Mytilus edulis: one gene and its partners. The main gene of each other region encodes a partner of the protein of the gene in region 3 in a complex. Links are inferred from orthologs where the notes say so. Each region holds a gene or a part of one and is shown on either strand. Other genes may lie near its edges.

What was found.
Region 1: the proteins of translation initiation factor eIF2B subunit epsilon-like (region 3) and translation initiation factor eIF2B subunit gamma-like are in contact, whole or in part, in a cryo-EM structure (PDB 7VLK), measured with the Homo sapiens proteins. The link is inferred for Mytilus edulis from reciprocal best matches to the Homo sapiens genes EIF2B5 and EIF2B3. Residues at the interface, in NP_003898.2 of Homo sapiens: Pro190, Val202, Arg222, Arg223, Phe224, Ala225, Phe226, Pro227, Leu228, Phe231, Gln232, Ser234, Ser235, Asp236, Gly237, Val238, Glu239, Val240, Arg241, Tyr242, Asp243; in NP_065098.1 of Homo sapiens: Arg155, Phe157, Glu178, Glu179, Leu180, Val181, Ile182, Lys183, Gly184, Leu187, Gln188, Pro191, Arg192, Ile193, Arg194, Phe195, His196, Thr197, Gly198.
Region 2: the proteins of translation initiation factor eIF2B subunit epsilon-like (region 3) and translation initiation factor eIF2B subunit beta-like are in contact, whole or in part, in a cryo-EM structure (PDB 6O81), measured with the Homo sapiens proteins. The link is inferred for Mytilus edulis from reciprocal best matches to the Homo sapiens genes EIF2B5 and EIF2B2. Residues at the interface, in NP_003898.2 of Homo sapiens: Glu81, Thr84, Ala85, Thr115, Leu117, Lys186, Glu187, Ser188, Ser189, Ser191, His192, Pro193, Thr194, Leu245, Lys294, Glu295, Tyr296, Asp312, Arg315, Arg316, Trp317, Tyr319, Pro320, Ala325, Asn326, Asp329, Thr336, His337, His340, Asn341; in NP_055054.1 of Homo sapiens: Ser12, Glu13, Glu16, Glu20, Lys23, Arg24, Asp283, Lys287, Phe288, Val289, Ala290, Pro291, Glu292, Glu293, Leu295, Pro296, Phe297, Thr298, Gly300, Asp301, Leu303, Glu304, Val306, Ser307, His309.

The regions. Positions count from the first base shown.
Region 1 is NC_092344.1:35,350,731-35,357,964, forward strand, and holds the start of translation initiation factor eIF2B subunit gamma-like, read left to right. Parts: upstream 1-4,188; 5' UTR 4,189-4,322; intron 4,323-5,981; 5' UTR 5,982-6,015; coding exon 6,016-6,163; intron 6,164-7,234. UniProt on the Homo sapiens protein: Acts as a component of the translation initiation factor 2B (eIF2B) complex, which catalyzes the exchange of GDP for GTP on the eukaryotic initiation factor 2 (eIF2) complex gamma subunit.
Region 2 is NC_092344.1:90,857,457-90,865,197, forward strand, and holds the start of translation initiation factor eIF2B subunit beta-like, read left to right. Parts: upstream 1-4,641; 5' UTR 4,642-4,689; coding exon 4,690-4,787; intron 4,788-7,435; coding exon 7,436-7,522; intron 7,523-7,741. Other genes in the region: SET domain-containing protein 9-like, read right to left, coding at 4,434-4,516. UniProt on the Homo sapiens protein: Acts as a component of the translation initiation factor 2B (eIF2B) complex, which catalyzes the exchange of GDP for GTP on eukaryotic initiation factor 2 (eIF2) gamma subunit.
Region 3 is NC_092351.1:90,196,796-90,204,637, reverse strand, and holds the start of translation initiation factor eIF2B subunit epsilon-like, read left to right. Parts: upstream 1-4,759; 5' UTR 4,760-4,774; coding exon 4,775-4,894; intron 4,895-7,355; coding exon 7,356-7,480; intron 7,481-7,842. UniProt on the Homo sapiens protein: Acts as a component of the translation initiation factor 2B (eIF2B) complex, which catalyzes the exchange of GDP for GTP on eukaryotic initiation factor 2 (eIF2) gamma subunit.

The DNA of each region.
Region 1 (7,234 bases), on a different chromosome or scaffold from region 3:
TATCGTTCATAGTTTCTAACAACACTTCTTCGAACGCAAGTCATCTCATGAATATTATTGCCGGCTCATGAATATTATTGAAGGCTGGCCTCATGAATATTAACGCCGGCTGCTATCGACGGCTAGATCCACACTAGTATACAAATCACTGTTTAGAATAGGTTGTGACTCTAAACCAATGTCTTCTGTGAAACCAATAAATTGTCTTCGTGCTCAAGAAAAATGAAGCAGTATTCTAGAAATATCGCTTGAATTGGATTTTTTATAAATAAACTTGAATTAAGCAAGATAGTAATGCAAGGACGCCATACACCATTATGATATGCGCATGATTCATAAAAACGGAAAACATCCTCATTTCCATTGTTAAAACACCTTACATAGCAAAGAAACCGCAATATAAGTTAAAAGCTGATCATTTTCTACACTGACTAGAAATTTTTGACAATTTTTAGTGTCAATGAACACAAAATTTCAATGAAATATAGTTCTAGCAAGGAAAAAGCTGAGATGACATACGACAGGATGAAAATGAATATTCTAAAACACAAAATGCAAGAAACACTGGTACAGGTGTGTACAAAGGTTAATGCTGAAAAAAAACACGTGTAGAAACAAATGTCAATCCACCCCCTCTTTTCCTATCCCCAAGAAAGGGTTGTCTTTTTAAATACAAATGTGTTTCACATTCAAACCTATACAGTTTATGACAACAGCTATTTATCAAATTGACGCCGCCGGTAAAGCAATATCATTCAGTCAAGTAAAAATGTAAAACCCCTGTCCAAGATGATATCATTCCATTACTTCTATATACCGGTAGTAAATAATGGTAGAATAAATTCTGAATAGAAAACCTGGTAATACAATTTCTGTTGCTGTCATGTGGCCAGTCTAGTTGGTGCCATTAACTTACATTTGATTTAATGTTGATGATTTTGCTTTAATTCGGAGATTAAACTTATAATTAAAAAAACTACAAAGGTGAATATTAACTGCAAAAAAAAATAATTATAAATTTTCATAATTAATTTTTTCTTTGATTTATTGAACTCACTGAAGCCGGGGACTGCATATATATCTTTGACATATAACCAAATATTTAGTTTCTTGTTAGAGGGTACACAAAATCATTCATGTCAAAATCAAGAAATTTTTACAGAACATGCACAATTCGTTCGGCAGAGGACATTTTAGCTCATTGATAGGACATTTTGGCGAAAGAAAATCGTACGTTTTAGCGCCAAAGTAGAACCCATTTTAGCGCCTGATTTTTAACCCATTTAAGCGAAAATTAAAATGTCAATGCCCATTTCAGCGAAATATTTTTTAACCGTTATAACAAATGATATATAATAAATAAGAAACTTTAATAGACTTAAGGCAGTACAATTTTTAAACATATCATATCCTAGATAGAATACAGCACTAAAAGTCTAAAAGGTTGAATCAAATGTTAAAAGTTCGTTCTAGTCTGGAATTTATATTCAAGAGAACGTACGTAATGGGTTCTGGCTATACCCCTCATACATTTACTGTTCATAGAATTGAATTAGGAACTGTTCTTTCTCTTTATCTGGTCTAGATTGTGGTGCACATTCGTCTTTACTTCATATTTTTCAAATATTTTGTTGTTTGCAATTTGATAATAGTATCACGAAAAACGTAAAAAGCAGGGTGACAACTATCAAATTGCTCAATATAATGAATGGTCATGGAACAACTGTGGACCATTATGTGTTCATGGTTATAGTAAGGTGAGTATTTTTCAACCAAGTAGGTTTTCGCCAAAGGCGGCTACCGAAAATACAGGTGAACGGATTAATCCGGCGCTAAAATTGGCTCTAATGTCGGCGCTAAAATGTCCCCATGATTTTTTTTTTATTTTTCGCTAAAATGTTCTGCGCCCCATTTCGTTATAACTGTTGCCAATGTATGACTATCACTTACGTGTCAGTCATGGAGGGTATAAGCCGCTCAGTATTCAGAACTGTACAGTACTGACATGATTTATAACAACATCTGCAAACAACTGTGTTCCGTTTGGGTGTAGGACATTTTAGCGAAAACATCTATACTACTTGGGGACATTTTAGTGCAGACATTAGAGCCCATTTTAGCGCAGGATTAATTTTACATTGGGTTGTAAATATTTGACTAAAATGAACCTTGATAATTTCAATTTTCGCTAAAAAAAAAATTGGGGTTCAAAGTCTTGCGCTAAAAAAAGGGTTATACTTTGGCGATTAATCGTCTGATTCATGATTTCGCTAAAATGTCCCCCGCCGGTCCCGTTTAGAAAATAAGAATTTATCACTGAGAAACTTAGGTTTTAATTTCTGTGTCTTTTTTTGTCACATAGCTCTTCAACTGTTTCAGTCCTTTTGAATAGAATAGAATTATAGAATAATTTTTATTTCCCAAATTACAGGGCCCATAAAGGGCATAAAATCAGATACAATTGATTTACATAATTGGTAACAACAACAATAATAGAGGCATATATATACATATATATTTGGAATATAAGCATTGGTCAGAATCAAGCTAAAAACCACATATATATTGTGAATAAAAGAATAATAAAATTACATTATACATGTATATGTATTTATTCTCAAATTATTTACTTGACTTAGTGTCAGAGTTCATACCTGATCTCCTTAATTCAAAACAGTCACAAATACAACAATCCAGTTTTTCCATAAGAGTAACATTTTCTTGGGTCAAGAGCCATAAAAATTTAGATGATTTATTTAAATTTATAAAATTATAACAATTGTTAGAAATGTCTTGAAAGAAATCGTCCCTTTGAATATCATAAAGAGGGCATTCTAATAAAAATTGAAGCTCATCTTCAACTTTACCAAGTGAGCAATTAGAACAAAGACGCTCCGAGATCTTTCTATATGCTTTTTTGAATATCTGTCTGTCTCAATTTTTAAACAGTGAGCACTTATTCTTAATTTACAAATTGACTTTTTGAAGTCCTGCAAAATTTTTCTTTTTTAAAACAATTTTTTATAGAAAAATAAGTACCAAGCTTCCCTTTTTCGGAGTTAATTGTTTGATACTTCAGTTTATTCCAAAATGTAAAATAACTTTTACATAGTTTATTTTTAACATACTGACATAAAGAACCAATTGATTGGTCAAAATTTGGTAATTCAATCTCTCTCTGAATATAATCTATACTAGAATACCATGTATTTACATTAGAGTTATGTAACTGTTTGCAACATATAAATGCATCAAATGATAATCCTTCTTTCAAATGTTCCAGTCTATGACAATATTTTAACATTGATAAAATTATAGTAAAATACATAGGAAATCTACCAAGCTCTGACATTACAGCTATATTACTTGACTTTCTGTTTACACCAAGAATATATTTCATAAATTTGGTATGAGCTTTTTCAGAAGAATCCTGACCAAAGACTTTTTCTAATATATAATCATTATCTTTTTTACAAGCAGCTGAATCCGTTCTAAATATTCCCCATCATGATTTCACTGCCATATAATAGTATGGGTTTAATTGTATGATCATAAAGATGTAAAAAAGTGGCAATACTAGGGTTAGATGATGACAAACATCTCTACATGTAGCTTAAAACAAGCTTTTAAAGATTTGTTGTATAATTCAACTTTACACTGCTTAAATATACCACTAGATGTAAATGTGATTCCAAGATATCTATATAATTTTGCGCTTTCAATCTCTCAGTTACCTCCAAAATGTAAACATCATTTAAAAAATTTTCCTGGCTTGTTAAAAATTACACTTTTTGTCTTTTTTAAATTTACATCAAAACACCATTCTAAACAATATTCATGTAACATATTAATTCTCTTTTGCAAGCCTTCCTGTGTTTCTGAAAAAATTACTACATCAGCATCCTTGGCCGTTTACATTATTCAGCTTTTATAGTGTCCCTGGGGTAAATTCAGATAAGCGCTTCGGACGCATGAAATTTATATTAATATAGTCGTGGTAAATCAATAATAAGGTAAACCTAATAACTTTAAAATATATGCTAAATTTTATATCAAATATTGGTCCGGTTACAAATGTTTTTGATCAGAATCTATCATTTATTCATTACCAATTAAGCAAATCCGTAAAATATTCTCATCATGTCCGTTTACGGTATAAACTTTAAATTCTTGGTCAGTCAACTGTTTATACCAGACGAAAAATCAATTTGCAAATAACAAATATTTTGACATTGAACATAAAAAAAAATTACCAATGCTTGCTTTTATTTCATCATTGAAGTCAAGTTGCCTTCTAAAGTAAATGCTTTGAAAAAAATCTTGTAAGTTATATTTGAAACTCTTTTCACAATCGTGAATAGTCCTTAGTACTGACTACAGTCGTCAATGATAGAGGAATCAGCTGAACAATGTAAAATAGACCATATGTCCACAGTCAGCTGTCCATTTTTTTTAATATGAGGCAGGCATTACCTGTGTAAGGGGACGAAGTCTGTATGATTTTTTTTTAATTCAAACATATCTTAATTTCAAAATGGAAATACCGTAACGTTTCCGATTTTGGTTCTGTTAGAGATTTTAGTTGTGACGTTATTAAAGTTATGACGTCATATGCAATGTAAACAAAGAAACATTATTATTAGGTAACAAAAATGAAATTGATATTGCGTTCCTTCCTATTTTATACTAGACTGATAAATATATATTTTACTCAAAATTTCATGCAAGCGAGACCAGAAAAAGGAAATACATTGTTGATTTCTGCGCAGATGCTGGAATTCAAAACATGACATAAAATAGTTTGAACGATTTTTAGTTCATTAATAGTACAATGAAATTATCGGGAAAATTTTCCCGATTTTTAAATTTTTTTCATTGAATTTTCTACTGTTATTGGGGACTTCGTTCCCATATTATTTATTTGACTCTTAAATTCATTGCTATGTGTAGAAAGGGTGCTTAGTGCTATGTGTATCAAATAGTTATTGCAACAAAGTTGTATATTCTGTTGAACTATTGACAACAGACAGCTGTGCAAAATCACAAAAGTATGCAAGTCACATTATCAACTATTACAAAAGAACACATGGGTAAACAAAATTGATTAAACAGAGACTCATATATACAAGTATATTGCTCTGAAAGTAAGTCAACCACAAGCTGCTGGGACAACAAAATTACAAGGTATTTGAAAAAGGGGGCACGAGGGAAGCCATATAGTCGGGTGTGACAAGACAAAATGAGAGCTGTGACCAAAACTTTACACCTTGCTTCTGATATTGTATGGCATGAATACATTTTTATTTGAAAGATACATATTTTATATTATTACATTATGACATGCTTCAATTTAGTATTTAGATGATGAAAAACCACAACATATTCAGGAGAACGGTGAAAACCAAATTTGATACTTGCTTGAGGGGTGACTAGGAATTGATAATGCCATGGAAATTTATTTCACACAATTACACGTACCTGTTACATCAAAAATTGTTAAACTGCATAACTGTCTGAAAATTTCATTAGAGTTTCCATACAAATGTAAACAAAGATATATTTGCTTTTAGACTATTTGCCAATTTTCACAATTAACCCTGTAATTTTTGTCTCCCTTATGAGGGATATAAATTTTTATTTACACTGGAGAGCTAGCAGAAAGAGCAAATTAACCTGTGCATAATATAAGTAAACCTTTAAGTTTTTCAAATCTTTTAATTTAATTAATTTGTTGTTTAGCTAAATACTTTTGTCACCAGAAGTTATTTTTCAAGAAAAATAGTTGAATCGTCGATACCTCACTTTCAACTTATCATGCTTTGCATTGACAAAAGCCAATTTTATCTGTTATAGAACCAGTCTACGAATGACAAATTAAAGGGAAGTAATTTGTTTAAAAAGTGTGATATTACAGAATCAAATGGGTAATTGACAAATGGACCATTAGGGTAAATACATCTTTTCTTTTTTTCTTTTGTCAGGTTACCAGATTTTTCCTTAAATATATTAAAAAAAATGGAGTTTATGCCAGTCATTATGGCTGCTGGGGAGGGGTCAAGGATGACAGATCTGACATCAAAGTGCCCAAAAGCTTTACTTCCGGTAGGAAACATGCCAATGATCTGGTATCCTGTTAATATGCTAGAGAGAGCTGGATTTGAAGGTTTGAGATTTGTTTATAATAATTTTTAGCTTAAAACATACATGTACATGCTCAGTGTTGTGAATTAGTTTTAGTTTCAGTTTAGCACTTTATCACTTTTATTTGTTTAACGTTTTACCGCCATTTACGTAACAATAGGCCCGCAACGTCGTCACTTGCCAACGTCTCTCTTGTATATTATAGACTAGTAAAGCATACGAAACATTGAAGACGCTTTTGTGTTTACTTATATCGATACGTCCAAAACATTGGTGCCGTGACAAAAACAGAAGAATACAAAAGATGAGTACCGCGACAACGAAGATGAAGACCAGACGAGCTGGACATCGGGGAGTTCTTACAAAGTTACTGAAGAAAGTGGAACCGAGTTCCGAGGAACTTTTGCAGGAATATGACGTTAGTGAACTTTCAACCATTCGAGGACTTATTGTGAAGAAGCAGGAAACGATCGATCAACTGAACGAGAAGATTGTGGAGGAACTATCGGAAGAGGAAGTGAGCGAAGAAATAGAGGAAGCCGACAGATACACATATGACATAGAAATGAGTGTAACTAAACTTTCAAAAATCATTAAGGAATCGGAAATCACAGTCAAACAGTCAAGTAAGTCATTGCTAAACCCAAATGCACACGAGTTTATTAATTACACAAATCATCAAGAAAGTCAGCCACAACCCAGTTTCATGCACGCAAATACATCAGCGTCCGTTTTTTCAAACTCCAGCATGTACCACAAACTTCCCAAATTAAATTTACCAACGTTCGGTGGGAATATGTTAGAATGGCAACCCTTTTGGGATTCGTTTAGTGCTGCCGTACACGATAACCTGTCTTTAAACGATGTACAGAAATTTAATTACTTGAAATCTCAACTGTTCGGAGAAGCCACCCAATGCATAGCAGGTCTACAAATAACTAACACAAATTACGGACAAGCATTACATGTACTGAAACAAAGATTCGGTCAACCACATAAGATAGTACAGACATACATGCAGAGTTTAATCAGCCTTCCTAGTCCAACGTCAAATATTACACATTTGAAAAAATTCTACGACAGTATGGAAAAC
Region 2 (7,741 bases), on a different chromosome or scaffold from region 3:
TTAGTTGATATTTCAATTGTTTTTGTTTGTTTGTTTGTCTTCTTAAGAATTTGAAGATTGTTTTGTTAAATAATCGATCACAGATATCATTTGTTTCAAAACATTTAAGATGGTTTAACAATATCCTGAAATTCATTACATGACGTCACAAAGTATATTGGTTTTTAGATATTCAAAAAATAACCGTGCAATATGCTTTTTGCTGTGCAATATTCTTTTTGCTATCCTCCGTTTTCTCTCTACCTTCAAAAATATAGTTTAAGGGCATACGATACAGTTTTGATTCCGTATTTACAGTTTGATGAAAATTTCCATATAGGCTATTTTTTGCCTGATTAAATCAAATATGTAATAAAAAATATACCTTCATGTGCTACTTCTTAAGTTAAATGAGGTCGAAATTTTGTATATTTGCTCAAAATTTGGATTTGTGGCTGTATTTTCCCTTTCGAAAGAAAACCATAACTTTTTTGTTTTAAAAGATAAACACAAATTGTTTTTTGTTAAATAATTTGTAATTTCTGTATTTTATGAGTATCCTAAAAAATTATGCATTTTTTATTCAGAAATAACTCATATTTATCAAATGGTCATGAATTGAGAAAAAAACATATTTTGTTGCTGTATATTGATCAAAATTTTAAAAAATTGCACTATTTACAGTTTTATAAAATTTGGTCCACATAATCTCCCTGCAAACTGAAACTAAATGTCGTTTTAAAAATAGGGGTCCATGCGCTCGTTTTCAAATTAAATCAGTTTGAATGATAAAAATTAGTCGAAAAATGCATCTTTTCCCCATGTTTCATAGTTTGACGTCGCGAAAATAACATTTTACTTTAGCAACGTCATTACATCCCCTGTAACTGTACGGTATGCCCTTAACATGTGACTATCCCTTAACGATTCAAATTTGTTAAAATATACAATTAATAATATTAGAGGATATCTTCTATTTTATATAATCTGTTTTTTTATGAGATATCTTATTTATAATATGAGATATATATCATATGAGATATCTTATAAAGTTTATAAGCTATATGTAATAGTTTCATACCTGTCAACTGACCCGTATTCTGCGGGTGTGACCCGAGATTTTCACAATTCTAAAGGATCACCCGGGACCCCCACCGGGTCATTGAATAACCCGGGAATTCCAAAAATGACCCGTTTTCACCCGTATTTCTTAGCCTTGAGGTTGATTTCATAAGTAATAGTCCTTTGAAATTCCGGCAAATTCGTATTCTTCCATGAACAGGAAGTTCATCTAGCTGTGTAAACTGTCAAATTAAGTGGCCCATTAAGTGCATGGCTTCACTTGGCAGCATTGGTGTCAAACACACCGTTAATTAATACCAATTACCTTAGCTTTAGGTCGTAAATAAATTGCACTGTTGTTTTACAAACATATTTCAACTAGAGTTACTTCCCCTTTTTTGTCACCATTCAAAATTATTCCTTATATTTACGTTTTTTGGGTGAAATATATTAAATTTCAAAAAAATATAATTCAAATACATATTGAAATATAACTTTTCATTATTTTTATACCTTTATACAATTTTTCAAAAAAAGTTGAAAATTATTTTTTTCAGTTATACTTCCTTTAACTGTATTACTATATTTCACTTTAGTCTAATTTGAAGCAAATATTAAAATCAGTTTTAAGGCTGAATAACTGGTTAAATGAACATTTTAAAACTACTCTTTGAAAAATATATCCTAGCAGTTGATGTTTCTGGTTGAATTACATCATCACAATAACAGAAGAAAATTAGACACAAATTTATCAAAATCTTTTAAAAGTGCAATGAAATAATAATTAATAAGATTGAAAATTACTTAACCAAGTGAACATGCATTGATGTTTTGGTAACTTTGATTTCAATTGTAAGAAAAATGCACCCTAAATACTGAAATTCAGCTCGGAAAAAGTTCGTACATGTTATGACCTGTATAATTTATTGCACGCTAACTTTTGGTTACTTTCTGTTGGAAATATTATATTACTATACAATAATATAAGATATCTTATTAAGATGAAATAATATAAGATATCTTGAAATTTAAATAAATAGTAAAACAGCTTGCCATACGAAATGACCCTTGGTGAACAGGTATTTGGGCAAACATGAATCAGGGAGAACAGACCCTGATTCCTCCCATTTCTACCCTCATGATGACCACCTATACAGTTTTCTGTCAAACAGACTCAGCTCTGAGATTCTTTCACAAGTCATTGTCAGGGTAGGAAGGATACACTGATGAAGTGTGATTCATTTTCTGGATCCACACGGTGGCAATACATTATTCACTCCATTTCCTACATAAATATATTAATTAAGAAACAAAAACAGGTGCTCCACAGGGCGCAGCTTTATAGGACCGCAGAGGATGAACCCTGAACAATTGGGGCAAGTATGGACACAACATTCAAGCTTGATACAGCTCTGAATTTTTATTGTGATCAAATTCCTGACATAATATGAGTTTATGACACAAAATTTTTTTCAAGATCTTACAAATATATTGTGCAATATTGCGCAATTAAAGATTTCTTCTTCAAACTTTTCAAAAATTGGAATTTGGGAAAAAAATTGAAAACTACTACCCCCCTTTTTTTGCAATAAGTCCAAAACCTTGCATTTCATTATTAAGGTGTAATACCACCATTGATTTTTCCCTTTAAGTCTTTGTTAAATTGACACTTTTAAAAAAAATCGTACAGTATTTACCTTTATTTCAACCAAAGAAATACTTTGCATGTGTAAAGTTCAATCCTTTCCGGTGATACAGTGAAAATTTCACACTACATTTCATTGCATATAAGAAAGTAACCACCGCCGAGGGTAGACAACCAAATTTTTACACTGTTATTTACTGGTTACCTGCTTTGTATGCAACCGGATGTGACGTACCATGATTTGGTGGTATTACACCTTAAAAAGTAGTGTAATCCGAACACACCCAACATTGTATGCTAACTGTTTTTGAATTACCTCCCTTACACTGCTTTTAAATTGTCTTAATTGTCCATTGACCAGAAAAACCTAGTTTTTCCCTTTTTGCCCCTAATTCCCCCTTTTTTGCCCCTAATTCCAAAAAAGTTTGAGCCATAACCCCCCAAAGTCATTACTTACCATCCCTTGGTATGGAAACTTGTGGTTAATTTCAGAGAGATTCATACACTGAAACATAAGTTATTGTTTGAAAACTACAAAATGCTTATTTTTGGCCTCTCTTTGGCTCCTAATTCCTAAACTATTGGGACCATAACCCCCATAATCAATCCCAACCTTCTATTAGTGGTATTGAATCTCTGGTAAAAATTTATAGAGATCCATTCACTAAATCTAAAGTTATTCTCCCCAAAACCTATTTCCGTCCCCCCCCCATTTTTTTTGCCCCTAATTCCCCTTTTATAGCCCCCAATTCCAAAACATTTTCAGCCATAAGCCCCCAAAGTCATTACTAACCATCCCTTCATGGTATGGAAACTTGTGGTATAATTTCAGAGCGATTCATACACTTAAACACAAGTTATTGTTTGAAAACTACAAAAATGCTTATTTTGGGCCCCTTTTTGGCCCATCATTCCTAATCTGTTGGGACTATAACCCCCAAAATCAATCCCAACCTTCCTTTAGTGGTATACACCTTATCGCTAATCCCGGCTGACCCGGCCGCTTGAACTTTTGACGTCAACAACAATCACTTTTCCATTGTGGCGTCAGATATTTTGTTTTATGACGTCAAAATTTTACGGGAACCTGTGTGATTTCCAGCATTGGCGGACAAATAGTGATTAGGTGTATTGAACCTTCTGGTAAAAAATTATAGAGATCCATTCACTGAATGTTATTAGTTATTGTCCGGAAACTGAATGTGTCTTCGAACGATGCAGACGCCAATGACAACGACATGATACCATTATACGATGGTTGTATAATAAGGAAAAACATTTAAAAAATTTAAAAATCACCCAACAATGGCATTATTGTTTCTGAAGGGATGGAAAAGTTGTCATTTTTCTCTATTGACAATAAAAAAAATCCAGATCAATATGTACTGATCATGTCACGTGTTATTAGACAGCAACCATTTGATTTTCTGGGGGGGGCTATGGTTTTTTTTTTCTGGACAAATTTTTTTTTCCGCCTGTGGCGAAAAACAATCTATTTTTTTCGCGACAAGTCGAAAACAATTTTTTTCTTTCAGTTTTAGCATTACATATAGTGGCAGCTGAGGGTGAAACAAACAATTTTTTTTTCTCAGAATCAAAAACAAATTATTTTTTTCTCCAAAAACTGGAAACAAACTTTTTTTTCCAAAAAAAAACATAGCCCCCCACGAAAATCAAATGGTTGCTGCCTTAGGTATCAGTCACTTTACTTCCAAGCAGATTCGTTTTTTTCAGCAATCATGTGTACCTTTCTTTTAAGTTCATTATGATCCAAGGAGTAAATCTGTATCTGTAATTTTTCCATTTATTTTTCAAATATCTAAAGATCATTACAAATGATTATTAATCTTCTTTCGAAGGACATTATTTATTCGTCCTGATGAAATGTCAAAGAAATTTAACCATGGGCGCATCCATCTTGCAGTAACGAGGTGAATTTGATTTTCTATTGGATAGTTTTGTGTTTTTTTATTTGGAAGGTCTCTGGAGTTTTTGTTTGTTGAATGCAAATTGGCATAAATGTAAACATGCCTGCTGGTGATGAAAAAATTGAAGACTTAAACGAAAGAATTGGAAACTTTATAAGAGAATTGAAACAAGGGTAACAAAATATTCATTTAAATATTAATCATAGTTTAAAATAAATAACGCATTCCACAAGGTGCGAGACAACTCGGATCGTCTACTAAAAAATCAACTCGGACCATCTTTATAGCATGCTTAGGCATCTATGAAGACAGATCGGCACTTGTTTCTATCCATTGGGAAGACCCACGATCAACGTGTATCTAGTGGGTCTTCCAATGGATAGAAACAAGTGACTGTGTCGGACTGTCAATGACAATACACCTTATCGCTATTCCCGGCTGACCCGTCCGCTTGAACTTTTGACGTCAACAACAATCACTTTTCCATTGTGGCGTCAGACATTTTGTTTTATGACGTCAAAATTTTACGGGAACCTGTGTGATTTCCAGCAATGGCGGACAAATAGCGATAAGGTGTATGAGTCTCCTCAGACCTAGTCCAAATAATTATGACGTCTGGCAAGGCTATTTTATTTTTTTTCTGGGACGCCTTCCTACAACGTGGTGGGTCGAAACGATATCAACCCCATGCGAAGCAGAGGTGTAAAATCATTCGTAGACGACCTAGCTCTCTGTCGGGGTGTCATACTTGGTAGAGCAGCCAGCTCACTGCGATCTCTTGAGACTATAAGCCTTTTGACTAGTAGATTTGTCCGCTTCAGACGGACACATCTGCTGGCTTCCTCCTCCTCCACGGGGCGTCAGCCCAAAAAGTCAATAACGGCTTACCGGTCTCGATACTCGACATCGCGGTGATGTGGGTGTGGCTGACTCGGCTAAGTACAACTTTGTTTTAATTATTTTTTTATTTATTTTTTTTGGTACGTTTCGCGGCCTGAGAGGGGGTGAGGAAGGAGTCCCAGAAAAAAATTAAAATAGCCTTGCCAGACGTTATAATTATTTGGACTACCTCAGACCCACTTAGACATTAAAAATGAACAAACTGCATGATCACTGAAGTGTAACCGAGATGCTCAATCGGAGCAAAGGCAAAGATGTAAAGGAGAACTGTGGTGTTGTGGTTAGCGCTTCGAACTATAAACACATACTAGAACACACCCGCGAAATCGCGGGCATTCAGACCGTAGTTTAAAGTATGTAAAGTGTTGTTGGAAGAATTTTGTAAAATATTGAATGACTGGAGAATTTCAGCAAATGTATCATAAGTCATAGGTTATTGGGGACAGGAAAATGTTTTTTTTTATACCTCCTTCTTCATTTCCAAAATTCCCAATTTTTGGTTTTCTATCAATTTCAATATGAACATACATTTAGTATGTTATGAACATTTAAGTAAGGAACCTGTAATTCAGTGGTTGTCGTTTGTTTATGTGTTACATATTTGTTTTTCGTTCATTTTTTGTACATAAATATGGCCGCTAGTTTTCTCGTTTGAATTGTTTTACATCATCATTTCGGGGCCTTTAAAAGCTGAGTATTCGGTATGGGCTTTGCTCGTTGTTGAAGGCTGTTCGGTGACCTATAGTTATTAATTTCTGTGTCATTTTGGTCTCTTGTGGAGATTGTCTCAACATGGCAATCATACCACATCTTTTTTTGTTGTTATAATAAATGAATTTTGTAAAAGATTTAATGACTGGAGAATTTTAGAAAAGGTATCAAAAGTTTACATGAATAATTTTAGCGCTTATCTGTATATTATGAACATTCATTGCTATATAAATAAAGTGTATTTACTTTCAATTCCAAGTTTACTAATCGATCCATGGTGGTCAATTGATATAGTATACAGACCCTCTCCATTTAATAAAATCTGTGACCGCCCTGGATAGTAAACTTGAAAATGATAGCAGATAGAATTAAAATACAAAGTATATAGAAAAACACAAACCGGAAGTCTAATCTGACTTAAAATTTCGTCCAATGACGGGACAATATCTGGATGCCTTTTTTCTCGTTTTTCTCCCAAAATAACTCAATCTGAATAATCATATAAATGGATGACAAATGCGACTATGCACTGTACCTATAGGAAACAGAGGCGTGTTGATTAATTTATTGTGGAAAGAAGAGAAGCGACACCCAAAATGAGGTCTTCTCGTTTAATAGTACATGTATAGATGTTCCTGGTTTGTTCAGTGGAGGAAATATCAGGGACTGTAAAAAGAGCAGGCAGCTCACTCACACCAGCAAAGTGGAAAGGAATTTATATAAGTTGTAATAACATGTTTCCCAATCCACTATAAATAAATTTGTTAGATCTTAAAGATGCAAATTATACTCACCATTCTCTTCAGAATTATAAATGATGAGTTGCAGTGAAAAAGGAATGTTGTCTGGTGCACCTGAACGACTGTCAAGTACATTTATGACAGAAACTTCCAAATTGCAGCATCATCAAGTGAATACTGGAAAGACTTTCTTTCCACAAACCATCAGAGATTTTAACACTCCCTCTTGGGGTTGTATCAGCACCCTTAGTTTAGGCTTTCAAACCCTCAGTGACAATGGATAATTGTAGTTTGTTATACATTTTTTATTTTAAATGGCAAAACTCACATACTAAATACTATGCAGATATATATATCAACAGTAAGTTTGACATTTCTATTAGAACAACAACTATGATCTGACTTCCTGTATGACACAGAATATTGAATGTTAAAAAACACAGTAATTGAACATTATTTCTATTTTACAGAAGTGTAGAAGGTTCCTATAATGTAGCATACAGAACAGTTTCCCTGCTGGTCAGGGTGATATCACAGACTAAATGGACAACAGCTAGGTAACCATATACAGGGCAATAGTTGGGGGACAATAAACTTGCTATTCCACTCATACATGTACCCAGTCAATAAGTATAAAACATCCAAATTCTCCCTCATTATAAAACCTTTAAATATAACAGTGTGAGTGCACAACATGCAGCTTAGTTGATATACATTTGTACATGTATGCATCATGGATTAATTTTTATCTATATTTTGCCCAATAACATAGATGG
Region 3 (7,842 bases):
TGGACCTTAATGTAGACCAATTTGAAAACGGGACCAAAAGTTAAGAATCTACATACACAGTCATGACAGTTAGATTCGGCATATCAAAGAACCCCAATTATTCAATTTTGATGAAATCAAACAAAGTTTAATTTTGGACCCTTTGGGCCCCTTATTCTGTTGGGACCAAAACTCCCAAAATCAATACCAACCTTCCTTTTATGGTCATAAACCTTGTGTTTAAATTTCATAGATTTCTATTTACTTATACTAACGTTATGGTTGGTAAACCAAGAAAAATGCTTATTTGGGTCCCTTTTTGGCCCCTAATTCCTAAACTGTTGGGACCTAAACTCCCAAAATCAATACCAACCTTCCTTTTGTAGTCATTAACATTGTGTTTAAATTTCATTGATTTCTATTTACTTAAACTAAAGTTATTGTGCGAAAACCAAGAATAATGCTTATTTGGGCCCTTTTTTGGCCCCTAATTTCTAAACTGTTGAAACCTAAACTCCCAAAATCAATCCCAATCGTTCTTTTGTGGTCATAAACCTTGTGTCAAAATTTCATAGATTTCTATTAACTTAAACTAAAGTTATAGTGCGAAAACCAAGAAAATGCTTATTTGGGCCCTTTTTGGCCCCTAATTCCTAAAATGTTGGGACCAAAACTCCCAAAATCAATACCAACCTTCCTTTTGTGGTCATAAACCTTTTTTTAAAATTTCATAGATTTCCATTCACTTTTACTAAAGTTAGAGTGCGAAAACTAAAAGTATTCGGACGCCGGACAACGACGACGACGACGCCGACGCCAACGTGATAGCAATATACGACGAAAAAATTTTCAAATTTTGCGGTCGTATAAAAACTATTGTTTTTACACTCAGCCTGCCTTTGTCTAAAAATTCTTTTTTCTGAAAAAATTCTGTAGATAGACTATGGTACACAGAAGAAGATGTAGACTTTATACACTAATACTATGCATATGGTATACAGAAGAAGAAGTAGATGTTATACACTACTATACATATATGCAGCAGAAATAAGCAATACATAATACATACAACAGATATAAAGATAAGAATTGCCTAACAATTTGCTTTGACTGATTGCTATCACAATCATGACAATTGTAACAGATATTTATAATGATGTTATAGGCCGAATTTGGTTTAATATTCTTATGTTTGGTTTCATTTCATTCAGTAGTTCTCTTAAAGAAGACATTTGTATGTATTTCCTATAGGGTACCATTATCTGGCTGCCATCTTGGATAATGGATCGGGTACTATGTAACAACACTTGGTCAGCACCTCATAAGGAACATTCATGCCATGTTTGATTTCATTCCATTTAGTGCTTTTCTAAAAGAAGACATTTGTATGTATTTCCCATGGGGTAGTAGGGGTACTGTGTTTAACAGAGTCCCCCCGCTGGCGGCCATCTTTGATGATGGATCGCTTACAAAGTAATAACACTTGGTCAGCACCTCATAAGGAACATTCATGCTATGTTTGGTTTCATTCTATTCCATGGTTCTCTAAAAGAAGACATTTGTAAGTATTTCCTATAGGGTCCCATGTTAAACTAAGTCCCCCTGGTGGCCATCTTGGATGATGGATCAGCTACAAAGTAACAACACTTGGTCAGCATCTCATAAGGAGCATTCATGCTATGTTTGCTTTCAATCCATTCAGTGGTTCTCTAAAAGAAGACATTTGTATGTATTACCCATAGGGTCCCATGTTAAACTAAGTCCTCCCTGGCAACAATCTTGGATAATGGATCGGGTACAAAGTAACAACACTTGGTCAGCACTCCATAAGGAACATTCATGCCATGTTTGGTTTTGTTCCATTTAGTGGTTCTCTAGAAGAAGTTCAAAATGTTAAAACTACCACAACGGACGATGGACGCCAAGTGATGAGAAAAGCTCACTTAGCCCTTCGAGCCAAGTGAGCTAAAAATGTGTAATTGGTCTTTATAATTATCTATTATCATGATTATGATCTGCTATTCTGAATTTTAAAATCTAAACTTCACAGTCATATATGTATATTCAGAGTATCAAATAAAAGAACCCCAAGATTTAAATTTTGTAGAAATTAAACAAATTTCATTTTTATCATTTTGACCTATAAATGAGGACCAATTTAAAAATGAAGCCCAAAATCCATATTTCACATTCATTACATACATGACATACAAGGTTGGATTCAGCATATTTAAGAAATCCCAAGAATTCAAGAATACGCTATCTATTCAAACATGAAAAAAAAAAAAATGTTTTGGCTCCTTTCTCCGAAACTGACAGAGCAATAACCCCCAAAATCATTCTCAACTTTCCAGTTTTTATATAGATCCTTGTGGTTCAATTTCAAGAGAATCCACAGACTTGTGCTTATACTCAACAAGAGTGCACACGCTGAAATGTCTCTCCTTCTTTACTATTCATTGATATCATGTTGATAGTCTTTAATTGAAAGCTTTATTTATACAACATAAACTTTGCTTGTAAAATACACCTTAAAAAAATAGGAAGGGTTGTAGACATGGTAGATGTAGATGTTCCTTTTAATACATGTAAGAGGTAAATGCATGGGAATGATAACTTCCTTGGTAATATAATTTCCAGTATTATGACATTGTGACATGTAATTACAGCGTCATTATAAGTTAACAATGTTTGACTTTCTAGTACATGTATATATCATGTAAATGATGTATATATCAATTTGAGAATGGAAATTGGGAATATGTCAAAGAGTGCCTTTTCAATCAAATCAAATCAAATAATTCTATTGGTGTCAATTCCAATACAGGAATGATACCAGCAGACATTTACAAAACACAAATACAAAAAATAAACAATAAAACAAATATAAAGACACATATTTTATACAATGGGGGTGTTAATCATACTACATTACAAACTCAAGATATTACAATATAAGCTTTAAAACTACAAAAGTTCTTAACAACATTATGTTTGCTTTAAATGAATGTTTGAATCATACATATCGCTTATTCCAGCTACAGCTATACGTTGAATTGTGATGTCGAAATTTTCCAGGAATCAGATTATCTTTGCCCATGTTGCCCTCACCAGTTATTGTGGAAAAATAGCAATAAGGTTATACATGTAGTTTAAAAATGAATACATTTACCATGGGCATGATGGGTGATAAATGAACCAGGATCTGATTTGACTAGTAGTCTCCAATACACCTTATCTCTATTTGTCGACATTACTGGACATCACACGTTTCCGTAAAAATTTTGACGTCATAATAGAATCTGGGTCCATTCGCCCTAGTACCTGTTCGCCCCGATACCTGTTAGATTTTTATTTTTTTCTAATTGTTAGATACATGGTCTAGTCGCATAATTTTAAGTATTTTAACAAAATATGTTAAAGTTTGTTGAAAATTGACAGAATATTTAAATTGCTGCAATCAATGTATCATTCTCCCTTTGATTTGCAGAGTAGAATACTTGGAATACAATGTATAAATTTATCTTTATTGATATTTGTTAACAAAATAATTGTATTCAGCTGTAAATCACAAATGTATGCATTTCAACTGAGACTAGTCCCACTGAGAGTATTATAATAAATGAACTTGAAAATCTGTTTCATGATTTACAGTTCGTACACCAATGAATGTTTTTATTTATTTCAAGCTGTTTGTTTTTATCATTGACATTGTTTATTATCATGATTATTATAATCCTTCAAACGACAAGTTTCACAAAAATCAGTGATCGGAATTATTTTGTCATTGAACAATTAATGATCCTAATGATCATAAACAAGCCATAAACTGTTAAATATAAGAATATATATACCATAGAAATATCTGAATAAGTTTATTCAACTTTAATCACTGAATGCCCTGAATATTAATATTTTTAAGTAGGGCGAACGGACTCTATGGGCAAATGAACTCAGGGCGAATGGACATAAGGCAAACATGTCATTAGGGTGAACGTACACAATACCGTCATAATACAAATACATTGAAATAGGAAATTTATTTTAAGTTGGGTTATATATGAAATACTACAAATGAAAATCGGATTGTTGTATGACATCAATAGTTCAAGCGGGACAGATTCTCTGGTCAGCCGGGAATAAGCGATTAGGTGTATTTGACCAGGTGCTGAAGAAACTAGAATTTGCCCAACAAAAGGCAACATCATGAACATGATCGATCGCCCAACTGAAAAGGAATTCCTACCCTATTTATAAAAGGTAGCCCTTCAACAGACTGAGCAGTCTTCACGACGAGTGGCAGCCCAGGCTGGTAAAATTGCTCTCGGGCCTGTAAAAATCAGACCTACAGGCCAACAGAATCTAACTAAATATTTTCAAAAATTGAGCTGCAGGCCTGTAGATTTAGCAGTTCAGCGTGAAGACTGTCAGACTGAGCCAAGAAGTTTGTCATGAGCTCACCACTTATGATTAACTATCTACTATATGAACTAAGTAATCACGTAATCGAGCTGTATGATTCTTTTGTAAACAGAGCCCTATCTCATGAGATTTCGACTTCATTCGCGTCCATAGGCGTAGTGTAGTTTAGATTGCAATAGGTGCGGAGAACAGTGAGTTTGGATTACAGACGAATATAAAATGATTCTCGACAAACTTATAATGTCGTGTAATTTTTCTTACCCAAAGCGACTTCTAAGAGGGTCTAAACAGGTAGGAAAGTCGTTCGTTGTCGAGTTGGCGATTCCACAAACCGGAAGTACCGGAAGTTCAATAAAAATCAAAACATTGCAAAATGTCTGGAAAAGGCAAACAACGTGGAGCCGACATAAAACAAGAAGATATTCTACAAGCTGTTGTCATTGCAGATACTTTCAATGTTCGCTTTGCACCAATTACAGAAAAGAAACCCAGAGTAAAATTCAAATTTGTACTGCAACTGCCATTCACTTGTTCACAGCATGATGCAACTTTTTTCTTTAATTTGCTCATCATCTTTTATAGTTTTATCCTTGTATTCGTCATGTTCATAGATTGTAAAAAATTGTAAATATTAATTTGCTTCATGTAAAAAGTATACAATGTATAGTTCCCTTATTTTAAGAAATGTCCATGGAAAGATCTCTATGACTAGTTTTATGACAGCACACAGCCTAGTCCAAATAATTATGAATGTACATTGTAGGACAGAAAGTCACAGGACAAAAACTTAAAAGTCACAGGACAAAAAGTCACAATTCATTTTTTCTGATTATTTTCTTTGAATAAAAAATGCTTATTTTTACAAAAACATTTTTGTATTATTCTTGAAGTATTGTATATTAACAAACTTTGTAAGCAAAATTTATCAAAAAAAATATCAAAAATGATCAAATAATTGTTAAGAAAACAAAATGTCAAAGTAGATAAGCACTTAAATGCTTCATGGTGCCAAGAAATATATCCTTTGCATGATTAGAATTAAATAAATCTTCATTTTTCAAGTAAAATGATAAATTTCCTAAACTTTAATATGAATATATGTATAAAAAGTGAACATTTCAAGATATTCTCTTCTATATTCAAACATTTGTCAACAAATTATTTGTGACTTTTTGTCCTATCAAATTTCTGACTTTATGTCCTGTGACTTTTTGTCCTGTGACTTTCTGTCCGTTATAATTATGACGTCTGGCAAGGCTATTGTCAGATTGTAGGAAGGCGTCCCAGAAAAAAATAAAATAGCCTTGCCAGACATCATAATTATTTAGACTACTCACAGCCATGGCATAATCATGATAATATGTCAATTTGATATCGTCATGTGTCATGTTTTCATATCAGGGTAACATGAATGACAGAATGACTCTGTTATTATCGGAATAACACTTGTAATGACTGAATAACACTTGAAATTGTAATATCAGTTCATATTGGTGACTTTAAACATTGATCATGTTGATTGTTTCATAATAGTATATTATCGATGTAACTTACAACTTAAAAATGATTTAGATAAGCAGATATAAGTTCATAAAGATCATTTTAAATTGAATGTGTACATCGAACATGACAGCCATTGTGATTTCCGTGGTCCCGTATTGGATGTACACACTAAATTTAAAAAGTTTTTAATGAACGTTAATCTACTTTCTGTAATTAAATCATTCATAAGTCGTAGAACATGTAGTATACATGGAATACATTTGTACATCAATTATATACTATTAGTTAATAATGTTTTAAAGTCACCAATATGTGCAAATATTAAATTTTCAAGTTTTATTCGGTCATTTCAAGTGTTATTCAGATATTGACAGTGTTATTCCATCATTCGAGGTACCGTTCATATCATCCATTTTTCATCGGTGTCGATTGAACACGCTGGTAATGTGTTTTTTGGTTTCTATATTTGATACAACAACATTACAACTTCACAAATTTGATATGTATTAAAAGTCGCTTTATAAGACGTTAAAACAAATTTAAGAAAACTGACCTGTAGGATAAGCCATTTTTATTTAACCAAAAATAATGTCTTTTGTAGACACCCAGTGCCAATCTGAAAAATGAAAAAAAAATCACAATGTTACAATTTCATCATCTATATGAAACATCAACCAAAAACTTTTTTACTGGTTAGTTTAAGTACTGTAAAACTTGTATCAAATAACATGTAATTATAATTCTAGCAATTACCAGAACCACAACTATAGAAAATACTTATTTTAGGATTTAATAGTCATGTCCTGTCGGTATACCAGTATACTGATCCAGGTTTTACTTCATACAAAAACATATGACATATATATCACAAAACATATGACATATATCACAAAACATTATGACATATATCACAAAAACATCATGAACATATGACATATATCACAAAAACATATGACATATATCACAAAAAAATTAAAAACAGTAAAAAATCATAGTAAACCTTGACTAAAAAATCTAGATACCTAAACACATTTGACAGAACATGCTTTTAAAATTTGAGTGCACACGTGAATAAAAACTTAACAGTAAAATTTGTAAGCAATATTAATTGAAAATTTATTTCTAGAAACTAAGGTGGAACGTGGCATATTGTCAATGAAATTGACATGAAATTTAAAACATTGTCATAGGTAAAATAACGATAAATAGATTATCATTGGTCATGTTGGTCATCTGAACTGGATTGCTTTTTGGCATAGTAGCCCACATCTCAAATTGTGTACCCAAAATATATAGTTCTATACAAGAAAAGCAAACATTATAGTAGCCCACACCAAATTTTAGGGGCCATTGCCGAGTGGGCCCCTGCTAATTTCAAATCCATGTTAGACATTTAGAAGATCAACAATAATCTTTAAGGAATTTTATGTATTTTATTTTGATTGTTGCAGACATTACTTCCTGTGGTTAATGTCCCTATGTTGGATTATACCTTGGAATTTCTGGCAGCCGGAGGAATCCAAGAAATCTTTGTCTTCTGTTGTCATCTAGCTGATCAGATCAGAACACATATCAGGTATATTCAGTTAGAACACATATCAGGTATTTTCAGTCAGAACAGTGAGAACACATATAGCTCAACATGCAGACTTCTTGTACGTTCAGGCTTAAATTAAAATATTGTTTGTTTGCAGTTTACCAACCGACCCTTGAAAATCCTCCCGACCGTGAAAATTTTATTGCTTTAAATTTGAAGATTTTTTTTTTAATACCTCTATTGACGCGATCCGGAACTTTCGGTCCTTTCCGGAAATGATTTAAAGTCTGGGTCAATTACGCATTTCAAGTTCGGTTTTTCTTAGCTTCCCGTCAAGCGTTCATGTGACCATTTAATGATAAAGCACATGGAAATTGTTTACAGGTATTCATGAAGTCACG